Elephas maximus indicus: one gene and its partner. The protein of the gene in region 1 binds, or shares a complex with, the protein of each later gene. Links are inferred from orthologs where the notes say so. Each region holds a gene or a part of one and is shown on either strand. Other genes may lie near its edges.

Region 1 (3,742 bases):
TGGCTCAAAGCAAATTCAACTTCTTTCAACAAGCTCAGCACTTCGAGAACATATTTTATTAACCTTTTAGTGATATTATTTAATGCAAGAAAAAGACTTCTGAGGGAAAGAAAAAAATGAATGAAAAGCGCCCCCTGGCATACTATTTTTCTCACTCCCTATCCAAAGGATGATAAAAAAATTCTAAGTTTGACTTTCTTACAGAAGATTTATAGCATTAGGCTGACTAACACGATCATTTTAAGGGAAATTCCTGTAATTCTGCCAGTCTTAAAAACACGATTTCGTTATTTATTTATTTTCAAGAGCAGCATTTCGTTTAGGTTTTAAAAGTATGTTCCGAGTCGCAAAATACTAAGCACCAATCGTAAGTACCATTACAACTCTGCTTGCGCTGTAAAGAGCAAGTAAACATTTTATACAGCAGTGAAGGTGACCAGGAAACAGCGGAAAAGCTATTTGAACCCCTCCCCCTCCATTATACCCGAGAATGCAAGTGTCCCGCATCTCAGATCAAACAGAGCCTTGGTCTCACTGACGTAACCAGTAATCCTATCCACCTCTCACACTGCGGAGGCCGGCAGGGCCAGCGGCTGCCGCCAAGTACACCACTCATCAGAGCCTGTCCCGTTCCACCCCCGCGTTTCAGTCATGCTTTCCAGAAATGGGGTCACTCACTCAGTAACTATTACACACACTCAGCCTAGCATCCTGTAATCCCCCAAAGTCCGCTGTAGGGAAAGAAGACAGCAAAAAGTAAAGAAAGAAGAATGGCAGACGCGCCACCATCAGGAACTGATTTTCCACTCCGAAAACCAAAACCAAACCAAACCGTTGCCATCTAGTAGATTCTGACTCATAGCGACCCTAAAGGACAGAGCAGAACAGAGTAGAAGTGCCCCACAGGGTTTCCAACCCAGCAGTGTTTCGTTCTGCTGTGCATAAGGTCGCTATGAGTCGGAACCAACTCCACGGTACCTAACAACAACAACTACAATCTTTAAGGAAGCAGACTACTACATCTTTCTCCTGCGGAGCGGCTGGTGGGTTTCAACCGCCGACCTTTTGGTTAGCAGCCGAGCGCTTAACCACTGCGCCACCAGGGCTCCTTCCACTCCGGAGATGCACCCTAATAACCTGGAATGGGTCTTGTCTGGGTCATTTTCGCAAACCCTGAGTTCGTGCTGGGATCGGCTGCGAAAAGCTGGTGGCTGGGATGTAGCCAGGGCAATTCTGTTTGGTCCTGTTGCGGGCCGGAAAGGGCACGCACAAGGTACTCGGGTGGGTGTCTCAGGGACGGTCACCAGATCCCAGGGTAGGAAAACCAGAAAGGCCTTTAGGGCGGCCGTTGATCTCCTTGACTATCACCTTCTCGCCTCTATGGGCAGGAAACTCAAGTTTAACTCGCAGGGACAGAGTCCTCGAGCTCAGCGACCTCAGAAGCGGATGGGGGGGCACCTCAGGATCCCCCTTTCTCCTTTGCAGCAGCAGCTGCGGCAGATGGAAGGAAGCAAAAACCCTAGGCTGTCCAGCACCCCTTACCCGAAAGCCCTACACGTCGCCACCCCTGTCCCAGGCCCTTCCTGCCTCCGTGCGCCCGTGTTCCCGTAGCAACCCCCGACCCCGAACCCACTCGAGAGCCCCTGCTTCTCGGGGAACCTAATCCATACCCTTCGGCCACCCCGCAAAGTCGCCCAGGTCCAGGGAAGCCCCCGACCGGCAGGGCCAAAGTTCCCAACTCCCCGCCGGTCCCCGCTCCGCCTCCCGGGTCCCCCACGCAAACTTGATGACAATCGGCACCTCGCGAAGCCCCAGCGCCCACTCCAAACCTCACGCGCCGCCACCCCAAGAGCCCCTCGAGGAAGCGAGGGTAGGCGACGGTGCGGGTGGGAGCAACAGCCAGAGACGGACAAGCCAACCAGCCCCAAGTCCCCGAACCGGAATCCCGGACCGAGGGAGACGCGAGCCGAGAGGAAGCAGCCGAGTGGCCGGGCGCCGGGAAGGAGCGAGCCGGCCGGGCGAGGGGTGGGGGCTCGCGCCGCCGGGCCGCCCCGCCGCACTCACCTCTGCGCTGTCGGACGGGCTCTCCACAGCCATCTTCTGCCACGGGTCCGCCAGCTGCGCCAGCGGCATCTTCCCCCCCGGCCCGCCGCCTTCACCGCCTCCTCCCGCCCCGCCCGCCCCGCTCCGTCGCCGCCCGAGCCCCACGGCAGCAGCAGCAGCAGCGGCAGCGGCAGCGACGGCGGTGGCGGCCCCGCAGAGGGCTCGGCACCGACACTGGTCTCCCGGACCGCGCGCCCAGCCCAAGACGTCCGCGCGCTTAGGTAGAGCCTCGCGCCGCCGCCGGGCACGGGGTCTCGCCCCTTTCTTCCTCTCCTCCTTCCGCCGCCGCGACTACAGCTCCGCCCCCCCCCCCCGCCCGTTCCCGCGCCCGCTCCAAGCAGAACAGCGGCCGCCGCGCGCTCCCCACTTCCGCTCACAACATGGCGCCTAAGCGATACCTGTCTCTCAGAGCGAGGCTAGCCGCCGCCGCGCGCACCCGGGGCGGGGCTTGAGGCGGCCACGCCCGTAGCCCGCCGCGCTGCCCGCCTCCCGGCTCCCTCCCTTCTTCCCAGCCCCTGTTTCGGGGCCTCGCCTACTTTCAGGAAGGGCGAGTCCGAGAGATCTGGGGGCGTCCAAGGGAGGCGAGGGAAAGAGGAGGGGAAAGGCAGGAGGGGCGGGCGGCTGGGAGCCTGTAACTACCACAGGTCTGAGCAGGTCGGAGACTCCTAGGGAAAGATAGAGAGCAGTGGTCCCCCCCGGAGGAGGGAGCTCAGTCAGGCGTGGGGGCCGGGGGGCGCAGACCCAGGCCGGGTGTCCTGGCGTGTCCTTTTGGCCAGCTGTCTCCGGGGGTGCCTGTGGGCGCGTCTGGTCTGGGAGCACGTCCTGTAAGTGCCCAAGACCCGCCCTTTCCAGGGTCACAGGCTGGGCATTCACCTGCCCCACCCCCAGATGGGGACTTGGGAAGCTCGGTGCCGGGGAGCCCCCGGGGTTCGGCTCCCAGTTGGATTCAAGGCTCTCTAAGTTGACGCTTTTGTGTTAAATGTTTGATATTCGGGTTGCATTGTCTTGCTTCGGTCCCCCCCCCCCGCCCCATCCCCTCCTCACGTCCGCCTTGCCCTCAGGCTTCGGTCCTGACCTCCAAAGTCCCTACTCCTTACGGCCTGAATGTTCGCGAAGGAATACATAGGGAGGTTACTGAAGGCTGCTGCTCTCGGCAGAGGTCGAGGAGTTATTAAAAAAATATCTTGTAGGCAGATGCGCGGGTTTCCTGCTCCTCCGTTGACTTTAAATAAAAGATTATATTAAAAAGTCAGGTTGACCGTGGGCGGAGGAGGAGAGGGCCGAGGGGGTTCTGACTCCTTCTCCAGGTCAGGATGGGAGATCTAAGGAAACCCACCCCGAGACGGCGACGGAGTCCCGGGGGACGAGGAGAGCTCGGGAGCGGGAGTCTCCAGTGGGTCCCGGAAGCCGGCGAGGTTTGACCCCGGGCCACCGTGCCAGGTGCACTGGCGCGCTGAGTGTGCCTGCACGGGCAGAAAATGTAAAAGTCGCCAAGCTGAGTGGAAAGCTACCGCAGCCACTGGCCAAGCGCCCTGCAAGGGGGAAGAAGAAAGCCAAAGGAACTCTATGGGCCGGCCAGTCCCTTGGTGCCCACAGGCCGCGGCCAGGCGTCCCGGGCCTCCCACGCCCCGCCATCACA
Region 2 (3,742 bases), on another chromosome or scaffold:
CCACCAGACGGGGATCCACCTTGCACCCACAGATCAACGTTGTCGAGTCTAAAAGCTTCCTGCCCCCTCCTACCTTGGTTTCTGGACATGACAATTTCCCAGCCCATTCCCCAGAAAGAAAAGTTGAAAGCACGGTTTTAAACCGGTTCTTTCCAGTTCAGTCCTGGCCACGGAAGAGAATTCAGAGCAAACCTGAATTTTTAAAATTTGGGTGAACTGGGTGGGGGGTGGGGTGGGAAAGGGAGGCGGGGAAGCCTTGTTAGAAACCTAATCACCCTCTTAGAAAACAAGGGCAGCAGTATGCATTGCATAGCAACCATCTCTCTCCAGATTTTGAGCAGAGTCGGGAAGAGCTGTGCCCCAATCAAATTTGGGGGCTGACTGTGCTGCTTTGAAGGTGTCGCCCTCCACAGTCCTGCCATAATTCAATCTCACCATCAGGCTCCTTAAATAGATCCCTACACCTCTTCTGAGTCTCCCATTCCAGGGCTTCCACTCTAATTTTTCCTTTTCTGGACCTCCCACATTGTAAATATTCGGGTCTGTTCCGCTTAGGCTTCCTTGTCCATTGCCGAACCGGTTCAAACCGGTTCAAAGCCCTGGACGAAAGTCACTTTGGTGCCCCAGCGTAATGGTTAAGAGCTATGGCTGACAACCAAAAGGTGGGCAGTTAGAATCCACCAGGCGCTTCTTGGAAACCCTGTGGGGCAGTTCTACTCTGTCCTGTATGTTCGCTAGGAGTCAGAATGGACTCGAAGGCAATGGGCAATACGTGCAGGGCTCTCTGGTTCTTCTGCTGCTTCTGAGCCCGCCTTAGAACTGAATCTGTTTGGAGGACGGCGCTCTAACTGCGCTTCTGGCGGAGGTCGGAATTTTGCTCGGCCCCTTGCAATGTTTCCAAGGGAAAGTTCGCACATTCGTGACCGTCCCTGGCAGCCGCCCAGCCCGGGACTTGGGGATTCACTCGCCATTGGCCAGCCCTCGGCGTGACGCCCCAGGGGGCGGAGCCTCATCAGCTGTTTGCAGGATGCCCCGAGCGGGGGTATTTTGGAAACAATACCGCACGGTGTTGAGTCTCGTCCACCAGCGCCCGCCAGCGCTTGCTGCCGCCGCCGTCCGTTCGCCGCGCCTGCCGCCGCTGCCCGGTGAGCGCCCGGGCGGCCGGGGGCTGGGCGGAGTTGGATCGCACCTCCTCGGGCAAGTGGGGAGCAAAGTCGCGCTGCGCGTGGGGGCCCGGGAAGAATTGGGCTGCGGGCGTTTGGGGTGACCATGAAGTACTGGGACGCTGGGGTACGGGAACGGGGTGCACAGCCCACATCTGGGTGCGCTGCCGCAAGAGGGAACTTGAGGGTAGCGTTTGGGATTCGGAGGAGTTGGGTCTTGGTGGGCAGGAGGGGGTGCACTGCTGAGCGGACCTGGGCGCCCAAGAACGGCCCATCCTCTGGGTCTGACTTTGGGGTAGAGCGGGAAGTTGTGGGCGTCCTGCGGAGCCTGAAGCCTCCTCTCCTTAACAGCTGAGCTTTTTCCCTCCTTCCCAATCGAATCTGGGCGCCAAGCCCCCGAGTGCTCGTCACGCTGGACCCTGGCGCGGAGCCCTGGCGTCACGACCCGGAGACTGACACTCTTTCCTGGAGTCACCCAGGTGTGTGTGTGTGTGTGTTCCCAGACTTTAGCCACAGTCAAGGACCAGTGTCTAGTCACTGCTCTCTCCTGGGAGGAGCCTAAGTTCAGCATCCCTGTTAGAGCCCTTAGAGGCTGTGATCCCTCGTGGTGGTGTCAGGAAGTGTCCCCCTCACACCGGTCAGGACATGGCTTCTTCAGCTCAGGGGAAGAGGCAGAAGGTCTCTTCTAAGCGCTATTCTGGCTTAAACTTGAATTTGCCCAGCATGCCTCGGGACCTTCTACCACAGGAGATCCACCTGCAGTACCTGGGGAGTGGAAGAGGTCCCTGGGGTTTACAGAGCCACACCTTCTGGCTGCACCTCCCCCACTCTCCAGCCCAGGCAAGGGTCTAACTTTGGGGCTTTGCCTGGGCGAGAGGTAGGTGACAGGCTTCAAAGGCAAAACCAGACAATGACTCCTGCTTGTGATTGCCCCTTGGAGGGCCCCCTCTTAGGTTGTAGCCATCACTCTGGGTTGAAGGGCAGGAGGGAAGCCCCTGCCAGGTGACTGGCAGGACAGCTCTTGGTCCATTCAACGGAAAACTTTGTTTCCTGGTGCTGATAAGCTGGAGTGCCCTCCCCTTTGGGAAACACTATCCTAAGATAGTGCCTGCTTTGCCATCCTGGCAGGCATCTCATTCTCCAGGGAGGAGGGTGGAGACAGGACCATAGGTAGCTCAGGGAGGGAGAGTTGAGGCAAGCACCCAAGAGAGAGTGTGTATTTGGGTGAACAAGGATTTCTGAATTACACTGAGATTCCTTCAAGTACTTCACCAACCCGCAAACCATTTGACTTGTTCTTCAAAGGCAAGAGACTGGGGGACAGAATCCCCAGAGATCTCTAATTGAGTCTGACAGTGACAAACTGTCTGTCCATATCTTTAACCACAGAGGTGGTTGATGCTCCTGGCCCCAGGGGCAAAGGGGTTCCTGGGGTGTGTGTGTGTGTGTGTACCGGGGCTGGGCTGGGAGCAGAAGATGCTGGGTGGCTCCAAGTGCAGACTTCCAAGAGCCATCAGGTGGAGCAAGAGGAACTTCTTTATCACCGAGAAACTCATATCAACAACTTGAATAGTACAGGCAGCTAGTGAGGTCACAAAGAGAGGGCCGAATTTCACTTCCTTCTGTGAGGCAGGTTGTACCAATCTCAGGTTCAGCGCTGCCAAGAATGGTAGGCTGTGGGGACAGGGATTTGCAGTCCGGGAGGCTAGTGCGTAGTCTGAGCTGGCTGGACACTTTCCCAGATACTGGACCTGCTCTCTTGGCCAGCCAGTGGTGGACAGACAGCTCTGCTGCCCTCCTGAGAGCTGCAGTGACTAACTTGGTGGGCCTTTTTCCCTTCCCTCTCCCAAGACATGCTTTTTACCACACCACTGAGCCGGTTTGTTGTGTTGAGTAAGTGGAGGGTGGAGGAGGGTGGAGAGTTGATGGCCAGCAGGGCGGGGCTTAGCAGGTTTGGAGGGAACCTGGCTGCAGAAGGATTGCAGGCTTTTGTTATTGCTCCTGCGCCTGGAGCTCCGCTCAGACTGAGCTGAAAGCTCGGTGGTTACCTTAGGACAGTGATTGTGTGTGTGTGTGTGTGTGTGTGTGTGTGTTGTGCGCACTGTGTGTACAGCCAGTCAGAAAGGTTGTAGCACCCTTCTGCCCTCCCCACCCCAGCGGCTCAGAGACTAGCCCTGTTTACATTTCCCCAGTTTACCCTATGTGCCCATAGCAGCTGATCTACCCCTGCCATGGCTCACAACCCTCTGAGTCCAGCTTCTTGACTGGCCTGGGTCAGAAGAAGAGGCCGAGGGGAAGGTGGCCCAGGGAAGGGGTGTGGAGAGTCCCTGAACTTGAAGCAGTCCACACTTTGGGGGTGGGTGTCACCCTTGGTGCTGCTTTACTGCCAGGATGGTGTGTCATCAGACCCTGGCCCAGCTCCCTCAAAGAAGGGGGGAGCAGGGAAGAAGGAAGGGAGGGGAGAGGAGAGGAGTCCTTTCAGGTATGGCCTGGGTGGGGCAGCATCCCAGATGCCTGCATTGCTCACTGACAGGGGAGATGGAGCCATCTCAGTGTGTGGAGGAGCTGGAGGATGATGT

The links. Proteins that work in one complex are often made in the same cells at the same time.
Region 2: the proteins of RPS6KA3 (region 1) and BMF are in contact, whole or in part, in a crystal structure (PDB 8R58), measured with the Homo sapiens proteins. The link is inferred for Elephas maximus indicus from reciprocal best matches to the Homo sapiens genes RPS6KA3 and BMF. Residues at the interface, in NP_004577.1 of Homo sapiens: Trp252, Phe259, Phe268, Leu281, Ala283, Lys284, Leu285, Gly286, Met287, Pro288, Leu299, Arg300, Phe303, Lys304, Arg305, Asn306, Asn309; in NP_001003940.1 of Homo sapiens: Glu8, Leu10, Glu11, Asp12, Asp13, Val14, Phe15, Gln16, Pro17.

What each region holds. Positions count from the first base shown.
Region 1 is NC_064846.1:159,177,106-159,180,847, reverse strand, and holds the start of RPS6KA3 (ribosomal protein S6 kinase alpha-3), read right to left. Parts: upstream 2,395-3,742; 5' UTR 2,134-2,394; coding exon 2,065-2,133; intron 1-2,064. UniProt on the Homo sapiens protein: Serine/threonine-protein kinase that acts downstream of ERK (MAPK1/ERK2 and MAPK3/ERK1) signaling and mediates mitogenic and stress-induced activation of the transcription factors CREB1, ETV1/ER81 and NR4A1/NUR77, regulates translation through RPS6 and EIF4B phosphorylation, and mediates cellular proliferation, survival, and differentiation by modulating mTOR signaling and repressing pro-apoptotic function of BAD and DAPK1.
Region 2 is NC_064828.1:15,928,352-15,932,093, forward strand, and holds the start of BMF (bcl-2-modifying factor), read left to right. Parts: upstream 1-1,032; 5' UTR 1,033-1,145; exon of another isoform or gene 1,146-1,514; 5' UTR 1,515-1,642; intron 1,643-3,696; 5' UTR 3,697-3,701; coding exon 3,702-3,742. UniProt on the Homo sapiens protein: May play a role in apoptosis. Isoform 1 seems to be the main initiator.